Linked DNA regions of Neodiprion lecontei. The main gene of each other region encodes a partner of the protein of the gene in region 2 in a complex. Links are inferred from orthologs where the notes say so. Each region holds a gene or a part of one and is shown on either strand. Other genes may lie near its edges.

Evidence for each region.
Region 1: E3 SUMO-protein ligase RanBP2 (region 2) and nuclear pore complex protein Nup107 share a complex: the UniProt entries of both Drosophila melanogaster proteins name them as parts of the nuclear pore complex. The link is inferred for Neodiprion lecontei from reciprocal best matches to the Drosophila melanogaster genes Nup358 and Nup107.

What each region holds. Positions count from the first base shown.
Region 1 is NC_060260.1:13,189,275-13,197,209, reverse strand, and holds the start of nuclear pore complex protein Nup107, read right to left. Parts: upstream 4,366-7,935; 5' UTR 4,202-4,365; exon of another isoform or gene 4,101-4,201; intron 3,753-4,100; 5' UTR 3,747-3,752; coding exon 3,191-3,746; intron 2,372-3,190; coding exon 1,896-2,371; intron 1,469-1,895; coding exon 1,261-1,468; intron 1,136-1,260; coding exon 282-1,135; intron 1-281. Other genes in the region: cytochrome b-c1 complex subunit 2, mitochondrial, read left to right, coding at 6,283-6,327, 6,580-6,719, 7,496-7,687. UniProt on the Drosophila melanogaster protein: Plays a role in nuclear pore complex (NPC) assembly and maintenance. Required for nuclear import of Mad. Mediates the association between the nuclear pore complex and a subset of active chromatin regions adjacent to lamin-associated domains.
Region 2 is NC_060263.1:26,799,587-26,807,759, forward strand, and holds the start of E3 SUMO-protein ligase RanBP2, read left to right. Parts: upstream 1-3,727; 5' UTR 3,728-3,871; coding exon 3,872-3,943; intron 3,944-5,234; coding exon 5,235-5,460; intron 5,461-5,620; coding exon 5,621-5,797; intron 5,798-6,139; coding exon 6,140-6,452; intron 6,453-6,687; coding exon 6,688-6,998; intron 6,999-7,124; coding exon 7,125-7,222; intron 7,223-7,340; coding exon 7,341-7,461; intron 7,462-7,635; coding exon 7,636-7,851; intron 7,852-8,173. Other genes in the region: DNA repair protein XRCC3, read left to right, coding at 60-272, 494-715; RNA pseudouridylate synthase domain-containing protein 1, read right to left, coding at 920-1,079, 1,199-1,475, 1,830-2,073, 2,166-2,276. UniProt on the Drosophila melanogaster protein: E3 SUMO-protein ligase. Component of the nuclear pore complex (NPC), a complex required for trafficking across the nuclear envelope.

The DNA.
Region 1 (7,935 bases), on a different chromosome or scaffold from region 2:
TATATAATAATAGAGTGTTTGAAAAAATTAAGGTCAACTTTCAAGTTTAGATAAAATTAGGTAACATAATTATCTACTAATAACAGAACGTTTAATCTAGCCAGCACTTTGAACGTTGACATTAATGTAGACTCAACTGTCGAAACGATGACGCTCGAATTTTTTATTCGTTTAGATGAAAAAGGTTCAGTCTACATATTTCATAATTTTTCTAAAATTTTTGATATTGAAAACCATTTAAAGTAGCATGAACACGTTTGGCATACAATAATATACTCCACCTTGTTCAACGCTTTCCTGGCAGCATCAATTTTCTCGATAGAAAGAAAATACCTAATCAAAGCATTGGCTTGCCACAAAGCTTCCTCCCGCTGACTTTGATAGAATACAACCCAGTCAAGCGCATCAATTTTTTCTTGATCAGCTTCTGTAATACTGCCTTTCAGATCCAAAGAGTTGACTTCCTGATTTTTCTGCCTTATATTTTCCACGACCAATTTGGTTATTGCCTCCACATGTAAATTAGTTGACTCTGCCGCAGCAAGGCACTGTTTGCGAAGTTCATATTCCCGTATATTTTCCAAATATTTCGCGTAAGTTGTAACTTGCTCCTCTTGCGGAAGAGTCGCTGTATAAAACGCAACTAAATTCGGGTCACCCATTTCGATTAAAACATGTACGTAAGTGGTCAATATCTTGTGCTCTATTCTCTCATTGGCAGTTTTACCAATTTGTCTCAAAAACAGAGTTAAATGGGCGACAAAACGTAGGAATTGTGACGTGCAGGTACCAGAGTCTACAAATGACTCAATTTCTTCCATTAGCTTTGGAATTTGATCAAGCATCAAATATTTTTGTATCAAATGATCAGGTTTGTGGGATTGCATTCGAATACTCGAATATTTTGAGGCTTGCAATGCATCAAATACTTCTTCAATTGTCATCTCGTTTTTCCAATAATCTTCCGGCATTGGCGTGTAGTTCTTTAAAACTCCAGCTCTCAACTCTTTTTCTACTTTGATATCTAGCAATGTTTTGATGTGTGCCCATAATGCGTCTTGCCAAGACTTTGATACACATAACAGCTGATTAAGATTCCCACACAAGCTAGCGTATATGGCACGATAATATTCGCCTGAAATAATTTGGCAAAAAAAAGGTACACTACAAAATTTTTCGAGTACTTAATGTAAAATTTCAATTTGAGTAACACAACTTCAAGTTGAAAACAAAAGTTTCACAATCTAACTGTTTACTTACCTACTCGATTATCCTGCGATAACTCCCATGCACATAATTTCCACACACTCCTGTTAGGATTACCTTCAATTGGAAGTTTTGTGTTATTGAGGGGATTAGTGTAGTTTGGATCATGATGCGGTGTCCATCCTAATAGGCAGGCAGCTCGCCATGGTTGACCACAATGAACAGATAGAGACTGTGCCTTTTGCAACCGTCCACATCTTACCTATATAAACATTTTTTTCCGTTTTGACGTGCAAAGACAGACAAGATTAAGAACAAAATTGCTGAATACGAAAAAGTAATATCCTACCATGGTATTTGTTGATAGATACAATACATATTACACGCTAAGAATTATAAATAGTGCTTAAATGATTTTGTTTGATGATATTTGCAACAAATAATATGATCGTGATATACCAGAAATAATTTAAAGTTGAGAAGTGATCGAATATCATTCAAGATAAATGTTATTTGAAAGAAAAGGAATATGAAAAACCTACACGGATTCTTTAGACATTGGCACAAAGTTATCTAAAATTTTCAAATTCATAAATTTGATCACAAAAATTGGTGAAAAAAAAAAAAAATATTCTTTAAACAAAATCGAATGAGTGGTGATGATTCCTCCATAGGAGAATAATACATACCTCTAAATACATTCTTTTTTCTAATCTAACATCGTCTTCTTTGTCCAAGTCGTGTAAGGGCCTGCCTTCTCGGATCGGTGCATCAGGGTCTAAGGATGTTACTATGGGCCGAGATGATTTGAAGGTGATTCCCGTATTTAGATTTTGTAGTTGATGAAGAGTATTTTCCCATGCTACAGTTTTATCGGTAAAATGCTCCATCATTGGTAAACTATCAGCTTGATCAGATGCGTTTTTTTCCAACCAATCGACAATTAGCTGGTACTCAGTAATCGAGGGTTCATTTCTGTACAAGTTTTCAATCACATCCTTTTCTGAAATATTAGTTTTCAGTTCCATGTCTACTTTTGACTGAAAGTTTGAGGAGTTTACACGGTGTTGGTACAGACAGTACACTAAACGCCAAGTATTTCTTTCATTTTCAAGGTTGATCTCTTCCTCCGATACTTCAGTGTTTTCGACCTTTGACTGCATACCTGTTCAATATGAGAATCCTTAATAAAATTACACATTATGTCGCTAGAATTTTGAGGTAGAATCAATAAATATAATAAGTACAGGTGAAGGCTAATCTTTCAGTATCAAAGTACTTTTTAATACACTCTCAGTGCAAAAAATATCAATCACATCGCTTTTCATAGGTACTAAGGAGAAACCGAATTGGCTATTCTGCCTTTCATTGATATGACCCTTGAAAATTAATTGTGACATTATTCCTTTCTTTTGCTTTTAAACAGAGCACTACAGTTTTATGCAAATCTGAATGAAAAATGTATTCTGTTCAAATTCGTTACTTTATTTCAAGGTAAGACCTAGACATAATTTTTCGTACGCTTTACAATAATGGACAGAGCCACCAGAATTTTGGCAATTCTTTGTATTGAGTTTCAATAGATTGACAGTGTGTTTTCTTCATCAAGACGTATAAAAATAGTGATCAAGATGACAACAAATTTTTTAAACGTAACAGTAATGAAAAATACTCACTCTATCTTCCATTTGAATATTGTAATTTCAATCGATAAAGACAAGAAGTAATTGAATGGTATTTTTGAAACACTTGTTGATACTGAAACCATTTGTACCGTTAATGAATAAATGACTTTTCTCATAATTTTCATAGTATTTCAATCACCTGTTTTGTTTTGAAACTATTCTATTTTCATTTGAGATTTATAAAATTCCAGAATTTAAAAATATGTGTATAATGAACTGGAAATTATGATGACTATTTTAAAATAGAAATTACCATTACATATTTGTGTATGTCGGATAGTGAACGAATTAGTACCTACCCCGCATTATCTCTAATGTATCTGTGCAAGTCTGTATGAAATCTGCAATGGTTTCAAATACTTGGGGTGTAGCCCTGTGTGCCTGAACACTTTCAAGGAATTCATGGAATAGTTTAGCATTCGCTTCACGCCAGGGTTCGTTAGCTTTCAATACTAAGCCTGTGGCAGTCGAATCATCCATCAGCTCTCTTAGAGTAAGGTCAGTCTTTTCTGTCGTATTCATGATATCCCTAAGTTCATGTGGTGCCATTGTAATAGATGTATCAAAGTCCTCAGTGTCATATTTATCAAATGACTTCGAATGTAAGTATGACCTCCGCATTCGTGGGTTTTTAGCCTCGGATGGAAACGACCTAGATTCATCACTAAAATTTCTGGGAACATTTTCAATGGAATCCGAGCTTCTCTCGAGATTGAAATTCGGTTGCAATGATATTCGTTTAGGCGTTGTGCTCTTAGTTGCTAATCGCAGCAACGAAGTTCTCTGTGTTCTACCCGAGCCCAGCAACTGGATTGAATGGTCGAGGTTGTCTGCAGTTTTTTGCAACGGCTCCATCTTGATCTGATGTAATAATTACAATGATTAAATAATAATCCAAGTGGTCACAGCATTCTATTGAGTGAAAAACGATGAAAGCGAGGGCAATAACATAGCTAATAGTGAATACTTCTGAACTAGTAAAGTAACTAATGAATGTAATATGTGCCGGGAAAGTAATTTTTCTTAAAGTTTGAGATTACGGTGGATATTAGCGGAAAATGCAACGTTTGCCGATGATTTTTGATGACAGGTAGTTCAGCACTTAGAAAGAACTACTGTTTCGTCACACGAAATTCAATTTATATCGATAACCAATAAAAAGAACTCGCGATTCCGTAATAGATGCATGCATGTAATTTGACTGCTAACCGTAAGATTAATACGAGTATCAGGTTAATTCATTTTTCCCAGTGTTGCAATTTGCAAGTATGCACGGACTCAACACAATAAGAATTCAAAACTTGTTGCACCTTGTCAATATTTTCAGAATACAAATTTGGACAAGAATTTTGATAACTGAAACAACGTAGGTTAGCACAGTACGGAATTGCTGCCGGTTACTATGCAATATGTACAAATTGGCGGGCCAGTCTTCACGTGGTGTACGGATCAAAGCCTTTAGGTAATTTTGTACCAACTGTTCAAAGAAATTTCTATATTGTTAGCACGAGTCTTCAGGAAGAAATCTCTAGTTTTCGTGGCGAGCTTTATGACAAGCATAGAGAGAATAAGGCCGTGTTTGAAAATTGACTGACAGTCCTGTCAGCAATCTTTCATCTCTTTTGCGCTTGCAAGTTCACGAATGGCTCTGACTCTGTCCTAGGGAATTTTCAGTACTGTCAGTCAATTTACGAACACGGCCTAAGTGGGCAAGATGTAGGGGTTGGCATAAGTTGAGAGACTTGCCGATAAAAAGAGAAAAAACATCAAGATACAAGTATACGTCCCCGCTTGCCTTATTGCTATTGGTCTTTGTCACTCTATTCGGTGACTTGATGGGCGAAATATATAGATTCGACAGTCATGCATTTCGGTATTGTCGAAAGTACTAATAGATCCTAGAAATCTCCCGATTCAGCATAAAAAAATCGTACTCAACAAAGTTTTTTTGTAGTACGATAGGATGCTAGTTCCATCAAAACCTGATAGGGCTGAGTTCAGAAACCTTACTCGAGTGACTCGTATCGTTATGTCTTTGTTTAATCTCATGTGTTAAAGACAATATGATATCCGAGTTTACTCGGGTAAAGTTTCTGAACTCAGCCCAGGAATGCCTTTATCTAGTAACTTCTGTTCGTCCGTTATTTCGTGGGCCGCCGTTGTCATGGGAAGATATTCAAATATCCAACCAAAGTGGTGTGACGTCAAACGGCAATTCCCGAAATTTCCAGCAGCTAGTCACTAGAATTCGTTGACGAAAATATAGCTAGACGCACAATTAGTAGTTTCGGGTCGCCAGATACCGATTGAGTATTAAAATGCACTGGGCAACTCGATTCAAACCGCCCACTTCAAATAAATCGGATTTTATTTTTAATAGGTGAATAATAATGGTGTGCACTTACCTTAGAGCATTACTGTACATTCTCTAAGGCACATAATACTAAAATGTCGAACTCCGCTAAAGTATTTCTCTGCAATGCTGAGGTGTTTCTCTGCTGAGATATTACTCCGTTTCGATGGGGACGCGAGAGGCAATAGGAGTTTAAAAGCAACTAATTTAATATAATTAGAATTACATGAAATATATTTTAATGGGTTTATTGTCTCAATAGACCGTTTACAGAATACCAAAACCTGAATAATAATTATTTAAGAGTTAAGGTGGGAAAAAGCGCTGCTTGTCTGGCCAGAACTAAGTTCTAAAAATTGGAATATCGTATTAGTGATATAGAATAGTAATTAGGAATAAAATATACGTACATTCCGATCAGATGGTACAGTGGGCGTGGAGTAAAGAATTTCCAGCCACACCTAACTCCATGTGAGTGCGGGTATATGCTCTAAGATGCGGGTGGATTTTCACGCGCAGCATGCTCTGATTGGTCAGTTTACCAAAATCACTATTTGGTGACGTCTCATCACTGATATATATATATTAGTTCGTCTCATACTTGGTGATTTTGGTGAATTAACCAATCAGCACATGCTGTATCGAGAGAGACCTCTGTATCCAAGTGTTGCCGCACGTGAAATCCACCCAGTGACTTAAGGAGTGAGCATGTCAAGCGTGGGCAGGGGAAGGGGAATCAAGCATGCACGTACAAGTTTTTCCTTTAATTCCGAAAGAGAAGACAGCGAATCGTAATTACCAGAGTCAGTTTTGTTCTTATCGTAAATGGCGCTATTATTTATTCCAAGCCCTGAACCCCAGCACGAGGCCAACGCTGCAGAAGTAGGCCTGCACAGAATGAAGTTCATATTTTCCACCATTTTGCCTACAACCTAGCATACACTAGCGGCATCTATCACCCTACTTCGACATTCTTTTCGACTAGCAGACAATCCCTCCGTCTAGTAGGTCTGGAAGCTGCTATTTTATCGCACGAAAATGGCCTGCTCGGCGGTACGAGCTCCTCTTTTGCGTAATACAACGGTAAGTAAAATAATCTATCGGAATCCACAAGGCTGAAACTCCTATGTACGAAATGATTTCAAGTGTTTCTGTACGCACGGTTCACTTTGGTGTCGACATTTCGAGCTATACTGTACGTGAAACTATTATGTAAAGGATGTTATCCATACTTCAGTCTGCAGTTATAGTGCAAGTTTGAAATTTTTTGTAAATATTTTACTTTCGTCCATTACGAGACTCAAAGTAGACGTAAATCATCGCTTATTACTCTAGGTCAGACACTATGCAGCTGCTGCTGCTGCAACACAATCTGCACCTGCCCAAAACCTCGACATTCAGGTTCTAAGCAACAAAATCACCGTTGCTACGCTCGACAACGATAGCCCTGTTACTCAAGTGTCCGTCACATTCAAGTATGTAGAAGCAATTTTGGAAAGTTAATACGCAGTAACATTTTATTTATTACCTTTTTTCAATTTGTCCACTTGGGGCGACTTGTGGTAGTCCAGAGCAGTATCTTTCCAATATAAGTACAATACTATTATGAATCAACTCTTTGTTGGTTGTACAGTTTTACTTTGGCGCTATTGCCCTAAATACCTAGAGTCGCTCCAAATCACTAATTCGAATCAAGGAACTCAATAATTTGGCCAAACATGAATAGATTGTTGCCGTAATCTCAAACAGGGCTTAGACAGTCAAGAAATGCTGAGCAATTGGAGGCGATAAACAGCAGTTTGGTTGGCAACTAGGAAACAGCACAGCTATTGATACATATATTTTTTTTGGTGTACCATCCTTTACCAAACAGGAGGTGCAATAGCTAAAGTTCTGCTGCAGTGAACTTGCTAGCTTGAGTTCGAAACCCCAGTCAGTCAAACTGTTTTGTTTTTCATTTCTTAGAACCAGTTCAACTTTTATCATACTCTTACGACGAATTTGATAAATTAGCATATTCTACACACGAGATAATAACTGCACACCCAGTTTTTAGCTGGCAACCGTGCAGCTGTGTATGGTTGCCAGTCGTGCAGTCATTTACAGCTACGTAGCTACAGTATAATGTAAATCTAACAAAATGGTACATTACAATATAATTGCTTATTATTTGAAAATTTTGGACCTAGTTGTGTTTTACTTTATCAGAATTGTTCACTCAACTCAATTTTACACAACTTTTGTCGTATAGGGCAGGACCACGCAATGAAACGTATGAAACACAGGGCACATCACATGTTCTGAGATTGGCTGCAGGGCTAACAACTAATCGCTCCAGCGCATTTGGCATCACAAGAAATATTCAGCAAATCGGAGGAAATTTAACGGCCACCACGGATCGTGAAAGCATTGCCTACACTCTGCAATGTACCCGCGATAAACTGTGAGTTGTCGACAGCTTTGCTAATTCAATCTGATAAGCCTGGTACTTAAAACTATACCTATTTCCATAACTTTTCGTTCTTAGTATTCGCAGGAAAAAATCTTCCTGTCATCAGTATACTAAACAGAATCCCTAGTCCTGACACGACAGAATTTGTAGACATATTTCAATAACATCTGCAATCTCATAATGTCTCAGTTGCACTGTAAGAATGTTGCTGTAACAATGATGTTGAGGTTGTTAATTCC
Region 2 (8,173 bases):
ACTTATGAACACTAATTAAGTTTAGATATACTACTTAAACTGTCACTGAAATTTTTCAGCAAGAACTTGAGAACTGTATTGTTCAAAAAATCCCACATTTGATGGCTACCAGAAAAATCGGTCTGCTGATACTGGACTCTATTGCTGCACCTTACAGAGCGGGATATTCACTCAACACATTCGGAGATAGAGCAAAGAGTCTATGGAATATTGCCAATCAATTACACAATTTAGCCAGTCAATATAAGCTTACGGTTATTTGTATTAATCAGGTCAGTTTTCAATGATTTTACTAACTCGGAAATATAAATTAGCTTACAAACAAGTGGAAAAATTTGTTTACAAGTTTTTATTCTTGTGCTAAATAAAAAAAAATGCAATATTCTAGGGCTTTCAATACTTTTTACTTATAACAAATAATCTCTTTGTCAGAATTAAAAACAAAAACTTGAGTGCCGCTATGTGTTCGATAACTTATTGTTTTCATATACAGGTATCTGCAGCAATTTCATTCAACAATTCTGAAGCAATTCATCCTACAGAACAGCCAACACTAGGTATAACATGGGCTAATATGATAACAAACAATTTTTATCTATGTAGAATAGGTGACTGCCGTTACCTCTATACTATGCAGTCATCTTACCTTCCTCGCACCCATATTGAATACAGAATCACAGGTTCAGGAGTATCAGGTGTGTGTAAAAATAAATAATCTATATTATTTGTAGTTTTATTATATTATTTATTCTATTTCACCTTCAACAAACACGAAAAGTATTCAGTTCATTACTTGTTCGTCAATATGCTGCTCAATTACAGAAGTTCTGGATTGAAATAATAAAATTCGTACATTTCTATGTAACAAACATAAATTGTATTGATATGCTGTTTGAAGTCCAACGTTGAGTTTCATACGTTAGGACATGTCTGATGTGAGCTCGTCAATAGTTGCAAAAACGCTACTATCTAAAACTTGTAATGAATTTATTGGAATCCACCTATTCATTGCCTCTGAACTTGAGAATGGATCTGCTGTACTGACATCCAGATTTTCAACCTCGTTTTGTAGTATAAGTCTGGGATAGTTAAAAATAGGCATTCATAAGTACAAAAAAAATGTAATATTATTTTTTTATTTTTTTGGAATGCAAGGACATTTCATTACTTTTGTAAAAATAAAATGTAAATACGTCACCTAAACGAATGGAGAAATGTTCTATGCGGTTCTGTGTCTTGTCTTTCACTGTATGTATAATCCCCTATAATCGTGTGACCAATATGCGAACAGTGAACTCGCAACTGATGGCGGCGACCAGTCTTAGGGCAGAGCAATACTTTAGTTGCTGGTTTGCCGTTCCTAGTCCCTGTCTCAAGTACTAGTAACACTGTGCGCGAATCCCGAGGTCTTTCACAGAAGGCACTACCTCCTGTACACATTCTATGATTTCCATTCTTTTCGCGAATATCTTCTCCTGTAGATGTATAACTTAATTATTTGGTGCATTTTTTACCTATAGTTCATTAGTTAAATAGATTACATATATTTTAAATTTATAGTAAGTTTGATATACTTGCAGAAAAAGATGCAATCTTTATTCTATACTTTTTAATTGCTGCTTACTATTTAAAAAACAAATTGGTGCTGATTTTAGGTCAAATTAATATAGCTAGTCGTTTTTTAAATAAAATTTCATGGAGATAGTTTGTAAGTTCAAAAGTAAGCACGTTTTTAATATGTAGGATTCTACGTGTTTGCATTTTTTTTTTTTTTATTTTGTTTAACAGCAGTTTCAAACAGTTTGCAGGTAATTATTGAGGAAGCTAACCAATTGTTTCCGAAATGATAACATGACTTTTGTTTATATGTCCATGGACTAGAGCTAAATAGTATTTCTTTGCTTTTCTACTTTCAAAGGCAGTGGTGGCTGCTTTGGCAGCCTGCTTATTGAGAGCCAAGCAAATAACTCCGCTTGTAGCATAATCAAGTCGATGAACGAAATGAAATTCGTGCCGTAGCTCTGGATTGACCAGTTCAGGGAACATCATTTGTATTTCCGTTTGTAAGGTGGACTAAAAATTGTACAAATCTGTGAATAGACCGTAACCACGTTATATTTATTATCTGAATGTTATCCATTATATTTAATAATTAAATGAATTACTTTATAATTCCGGTTATTGCTGTTTATAACCAAATCATATGGCTTATTTACTACTAAGAAATTATTACTGCGATATAAAACGTCTAAGGTATTATTTTCGTTCCCTTCCATTCTACCTATATGAATGTACAAGTTTCTCAAAAATTTCCGTTACCACACTACAAGTTAAGGCTTCGTATTTTTAATTTTAAAGCGCTGTTTTAACAATTCTTTGCTTTGGTTATAACCACAAGTTTCTCTAACCGTCCTAGCCTCAACTGGAAACTGTCACAAACGAAAGATTGGGTCAATTTTGTGCAACTGAAATTTTAACCGATTAAATAATCGTTGGTCAAGTTTATTGCAGAAAACACAGAACATAAAAATACATTCGTTTCAAATATAGAATGATCCGTTTGATCAGAACATTTATAAAATCGACACTCGATTCAGTTTGTAGAATAAGCTGCCGTTACTAACCAGAAACGGTTGCCTCCTAGGTATGAATGCTCTATGCCTGGGTCTGGCGGAGCACAATAATAAATTAAAAACTATAGATCTAAATCTAATAACACAATAGATTTTGCTTCATTTACTTTTATTACATTTATTGTCGTACATGTAGTAGATCTAGAAACCTAAGTGACGGTACGGAACGTATATCACGAGGGTCACGATTAGAAATTATCTTCATTGTAATATGTCAGACGACTTCAGTCATAATAAATACACTACGTATGAAAAATTTCAAGGTTTAAATGATCTCTCAAATGAAAAATAGATTTGCAAATGCCAGTTGAACACTTTTGGCCTTCAGTTTAGGCTTATGTTCAGACCAACACGTTAAAAATACTTCCATCATGCGTGAAAATTTGGGGTTAGTAAGTTGTGCAAAAAAAAAATAAAAAAATTATCGAATAAGAAATTGAATGCACATTACGTGACTTTATGCCGACTGGATACCTTCGCCACACCACGCTTTACGCAGTCGTACAAAGAATCGCGTGTGCATGTGTCGTAAGGCAATTTGAGGGATTTTTTTTATCCGGAACCGGCAGGAATCGGTCACTGAGCACTCGACAAAGTATGCGGGAATTGCGCACAAATTTGAGCAGGATAACCACCACTGATCTCTATATGACACTATAGAGATCAGTGATAGCCACCGTTCGAGCATAGTGAACAAGGCGTTCGAGTAAATTCGAGCGTGGTCGAGCAGCTAAACTGCAACCTTTGAAGCAGAGGACCCAATAATCTCTGGACGACCACACAGCGACGTAAACAAACGACGGTAGTGCGGCGTTGCCACGTCTTGCGTGACTTTAAAACCAGAATGAAATCAATATTTAATACTTATTTTTAATAATCGAAACAACCAAAAAAATTAGTGCAAAATGTAATTCTAAATTGATTGTACATCTTATCATTATTTGTGATCTATATAAGGATGGTTTTGAATATGTTTTTTATGCCTGTTTCTCGCTTGACCTACTCTACGCCGTTGTCTATGCTATAGCCGACGGAAACCTGGTTACTGTGTTTCCTGTGCTGTAAGCACGGACTCGGCTGTAAGCTTGATTTTAGAGTTGGTTGGTACAACTGTCGTAAAGAAGTTCGTTTGAATAGTGATGTCCACGGTGAGGCGGCGGTGGTTCGTCTTAACGATATTTTTCATCCTTTAACTGTGCGGCAAGAACAGCAAAAGGAATTCGAAATATTGTGGAATCATGTTCCACGATAAGAAGAGCGTTGATCGCCACGTGCAAGATATTTTACGAAAGCTGAAGACGGAAAATGAGGTAGGAGGTTATTCTCGTATGAAAACGTTACGCGGTGTATGATGAGTACCACCGAGTCACCGTACATGCACATGCAAATGTCGATCGTCCCGCCAGAAGTGATCCCTGCATTTCGATCTAATTCCTGTATCAATTCTACCGAACCACATCATCTTCTCATGCCAGCTTATGATCTAGCTATTTTCAATTTATTTTTAGTCATCGACTTGCACAATGTCGCATATTTATATATTATTATTCATTCCAAGGCCTTAAGTACTGGCTCGGAAGCTCTGTAGATATAACACGCACTCACACTTATCTACACATAACCTGTTATCCACACATAATATGATTTGCATCTCTCATGCCATTCCAGAACCGGGCTAACCAATGTTTTGCGGTTTCCTGATTATTCTTGGACAATCCATCGCACGCTGGATTGTTATTACTTCATTATCTCTTTGTTCATCATTGACTTTTTTATCCAATAAGAGACAATTGCCAATGTACTCTTCAAAAAGCTTCTACCTTCAAATATATATAATACATGTATCTTAAATTACCTTATCGTTCGGAGTCTAAGCCCACCCCGCATATAAGACGACCCCCAATTCCGAGACAGTATTTCAGGGTGTTTGCCTTGCTTACCCGCATATGAGACGAGTCCGCGTAGAAGACGAATGATTTCGGTTGGGGCTGTCAACGACAAAAAAACCTTGGTCTATATTTCCCTTGGATAAAATTAAAAAAAAAAACAGTTTGGGTGTAAATTCATACCCGTAACTAATAAATAATATTAAATTGCCATAAGAAAAAAGTTAACGGTGCAAATTTACACTCAAGTGGAAGGTTTTTTCCTAGAGGGTTGTAAAGACATCATATTTTCTGCTGGCCTTCTTAACCTTTTACTCAACTTGAGGTATTAGTAGTGTTAACTTGTATATAAAATTTAAAAATGAAGAGCTTTATTAAAATGAATTATCATACTTATGGCTATCTAAAACCACAACACAGTCTTTAAACCTAGGAATTAAGTTGTTTGAAATGGCTGCTAAGGTGGTTAGGATACAATTTTTGATCAGGAAAATTCTTTTACACTTTTTAAGCTTATAATTCCAGATAATTTATCGTCGTTTTTATTTAACTCAAACATATCTTTAAAGTCGTATTTTTTACTTTATTTAAAATAAAAGTTAGAGCATCATTATAAAAACTTGCTGACCACCCCTAGGTTTCCTTCACCCAACTCTTACGAGTTTAGGTTTTAGAGTTCATTATCTCCAAGGTAAAAATTTAATATAAATTACAGAGGAACCTGAGATGTTACAATATTGCTAAACTTTATTACCAAGTTGGTGATTACGAATCCGCAAGGAGATACGTGTCATGTTACCTAGAAGTGCGAGAAGATTCAGCTAACGCACATAAACTACTAGGTCAAACCCTCGAGGCTCTTGGTCAGAAAGAAGCTGCGTTAGCAAAATACAAGTGCTCCCTTGAAATTGATGGCAAACAAGACGATCTAGTCTTGAAAGGTGGGTTAATCTGTTTCACTCACCAAAAAAGAATAGCTGTAGTTTTAGGACTAGAAATTTTTCTGCTCGAAATTAATTTAACTATAGGTTTATTGCTATAAATAATATTTCTGACATCATTTGTATTTAGCTTAATGTACATGTTCGTTTTATGAAACAGTTTGTGAGATTCTGGCAGACACAGACGTAGGGATGGATGTCAGCAGAGCCAGATATTGGTTGGAAAGAGCAGACAAACAGTTCCCGCATCATCCTGTCGTATTTCAGCTGAAAGAAAAACTACTAACTGTAGATAGACCAAATGATAATGCCGAAGATCTTGAAGCACTTATAGCATGTAAGTTTATTGTATAAATTGTAATTATGTGAATCCTACTACTAAGATTCCATTTAATTCATTTTTCTTTGCTGTAGGAATGTCTTAAAATTTCGAAAATTGCGTACTTCTTACTAAGTCTGTCCTATAAATTTTCACACAAACTAGTTGTATGTGCTATTACAAGTATTTGAAATTAAGGTTTTTGCATTGAATCATTTTTTTACAATGAATCAAGTCACTAGTATAGTTTTAATTGAAATGTCTGCAATGGAAAGTTATTATGATTCACAATAACAATTCCAGTTCACTGCTTAAAAGCCTGTTTTTCGCAATTCTCAACATTGTGAATTATTTTTCCAGCTGAATTGTCAGCCAGACCAAAAGATGTAACATTGCGTGTCAAATTATTGCACCATTACATGGTGAAAAATAGACTCGAGGATGGATACAAACATGCCATGGGTGTGGAATCAACCTTTACCTTTAGGGATAATATCTCATGGTATCAAACAATTTGTGAATTGTTTGGAAAGTGCAAAGACAGCAAGTCTTCTGATTGGACTTTCTGGATGCTATACATTTCAGCTCTTGAAAGATTTGCCGCTCTGTCTCTTAAAGAGCAGGGTGATGGACCAAAAAAATCTATCCCCGAAGTTGCACAGGCAATATTGAAGTGAGTAAAGTGAGAAAGTGGTAACTAAAGAATTAGCAAATAGTAATTAAAAGACCTTACTATGTAATTAAACTCTTTAGTATCTTAATATTAGTTATAAAGTACACAAAATCGAGAACTTCAAGTGCGTCTGAAATTTTTAGGTTTTATCAGCAGTTCAATGCATTCAAGTATTCAGAAGTTATCCATTTTCAGTTTACACACATCTATAAGATACTTTTGTGTATAATTTTAGTTTCGACCAAAACCTGACAGAAGCAGAGCATCATAAGAAACTTTCAAACGATCCCACTTTTGCTGAACATATGTTTGCGCACATGTGGGGCCAATTACACTTGCATTTAGCATGTCTCATGCTCCGAAAAACTAAGCGTGAGCATCAGAGTTGGAGTGAAGCAGGTCGGTTGTGCTCTCCACTTCTATTATGTGCGCTACATACCAATCCACCTGACCCTACTGCGCTTTGGGCAACAAAACTGAAGGATCTGCGCAGAGCTCAAGTTAACCTATGGTATCGAGAAGGATCTTACAGATGCAGTCAAGCTGGTAAGTTATAATCCTCATCAAATCGCCTCAGTAATTTGGTACATAGATAGGATACGAGTGTAATACTTTTTGTCTACTTGCTTTTGTAATGGTATAGTTACTTCTAGCAAACAAAATATTTTCTAGGACATGTACTTCAAGACTATGCAAGAAATGATACAAAAAGATTCTTAGACAAAATTGACAAATTTTGTACTGGTGCTTGGAGGGAACGAGTTTATCAGGTAAAAGATAGTTTTTTCACCTGATAGATGTGTATTTATTAATTACAGAATATTTCTGACAATCTGAGACAAGACTTGTATCAAATGCATTGAGTTTAATTAAAAAATTTTTCTGCAGAGAATATTTGTAAGTCGGGTGCAACAGCAATTGATGAAGAGCTCATACTTTGCCAATCATTCTTCTCCAAATCCTTCACTTAGGCTTTGCACATATAATGAGCTGAAACATCATGACGAAGGTTTGTTATACTAAGCTATGCCTTTACTGCCGAGCAATGTTTATTCACAGATGAAATTTGAAATTCCTAGCCACTGACAGTTGTCTGTTAATATTATGCAAGCCAAATCATGAGACCTTACGCCAAGAAGTCCATTGGCATGAATTATTAAATACATTTGTAATTCTGTTCCAGTCTCAGAAGAGGTTTGGCCAAGCTCATTACACCATCAAGTTTGGTTGGGCATCAAACATCGGCCACATCATAATAATCACAACAACTTTATTGGCCCTCAACCTCATCAATATTGCCACATATTCCCCGAATTGCAGTTTTCTGTCTACAATCTGAGCCATGGAGGAGCAGACAGTTTGAGTCGGCTAGATATCGATGCATTTTTGAATGCTGCAGGTTAGTATTTTAGTCAGTAAGAATTCTGAGGAGATGGGATGAAAATGTGACGAACTGCTGTAGAATGTGTGCCATGTATATATAGATTCCTCACACTTGTTTCTACCTTACTATTGACACTACAGAAAGTTTTCAAGTTAGCGATAGGTCAGTCGAAATGAATATAGACAAATACAAATCGGTATTGATTTGAACTGGGTGTGAATCGCTTTTTATTTGTTCTACTATATTTTGAGATTAGAGTAGTGTTTTATTTCAGTCGGCCACCGAATCTACAGTGCATTTCTTGATCAATAGTAAATAAAACAATTCTGCTATATAA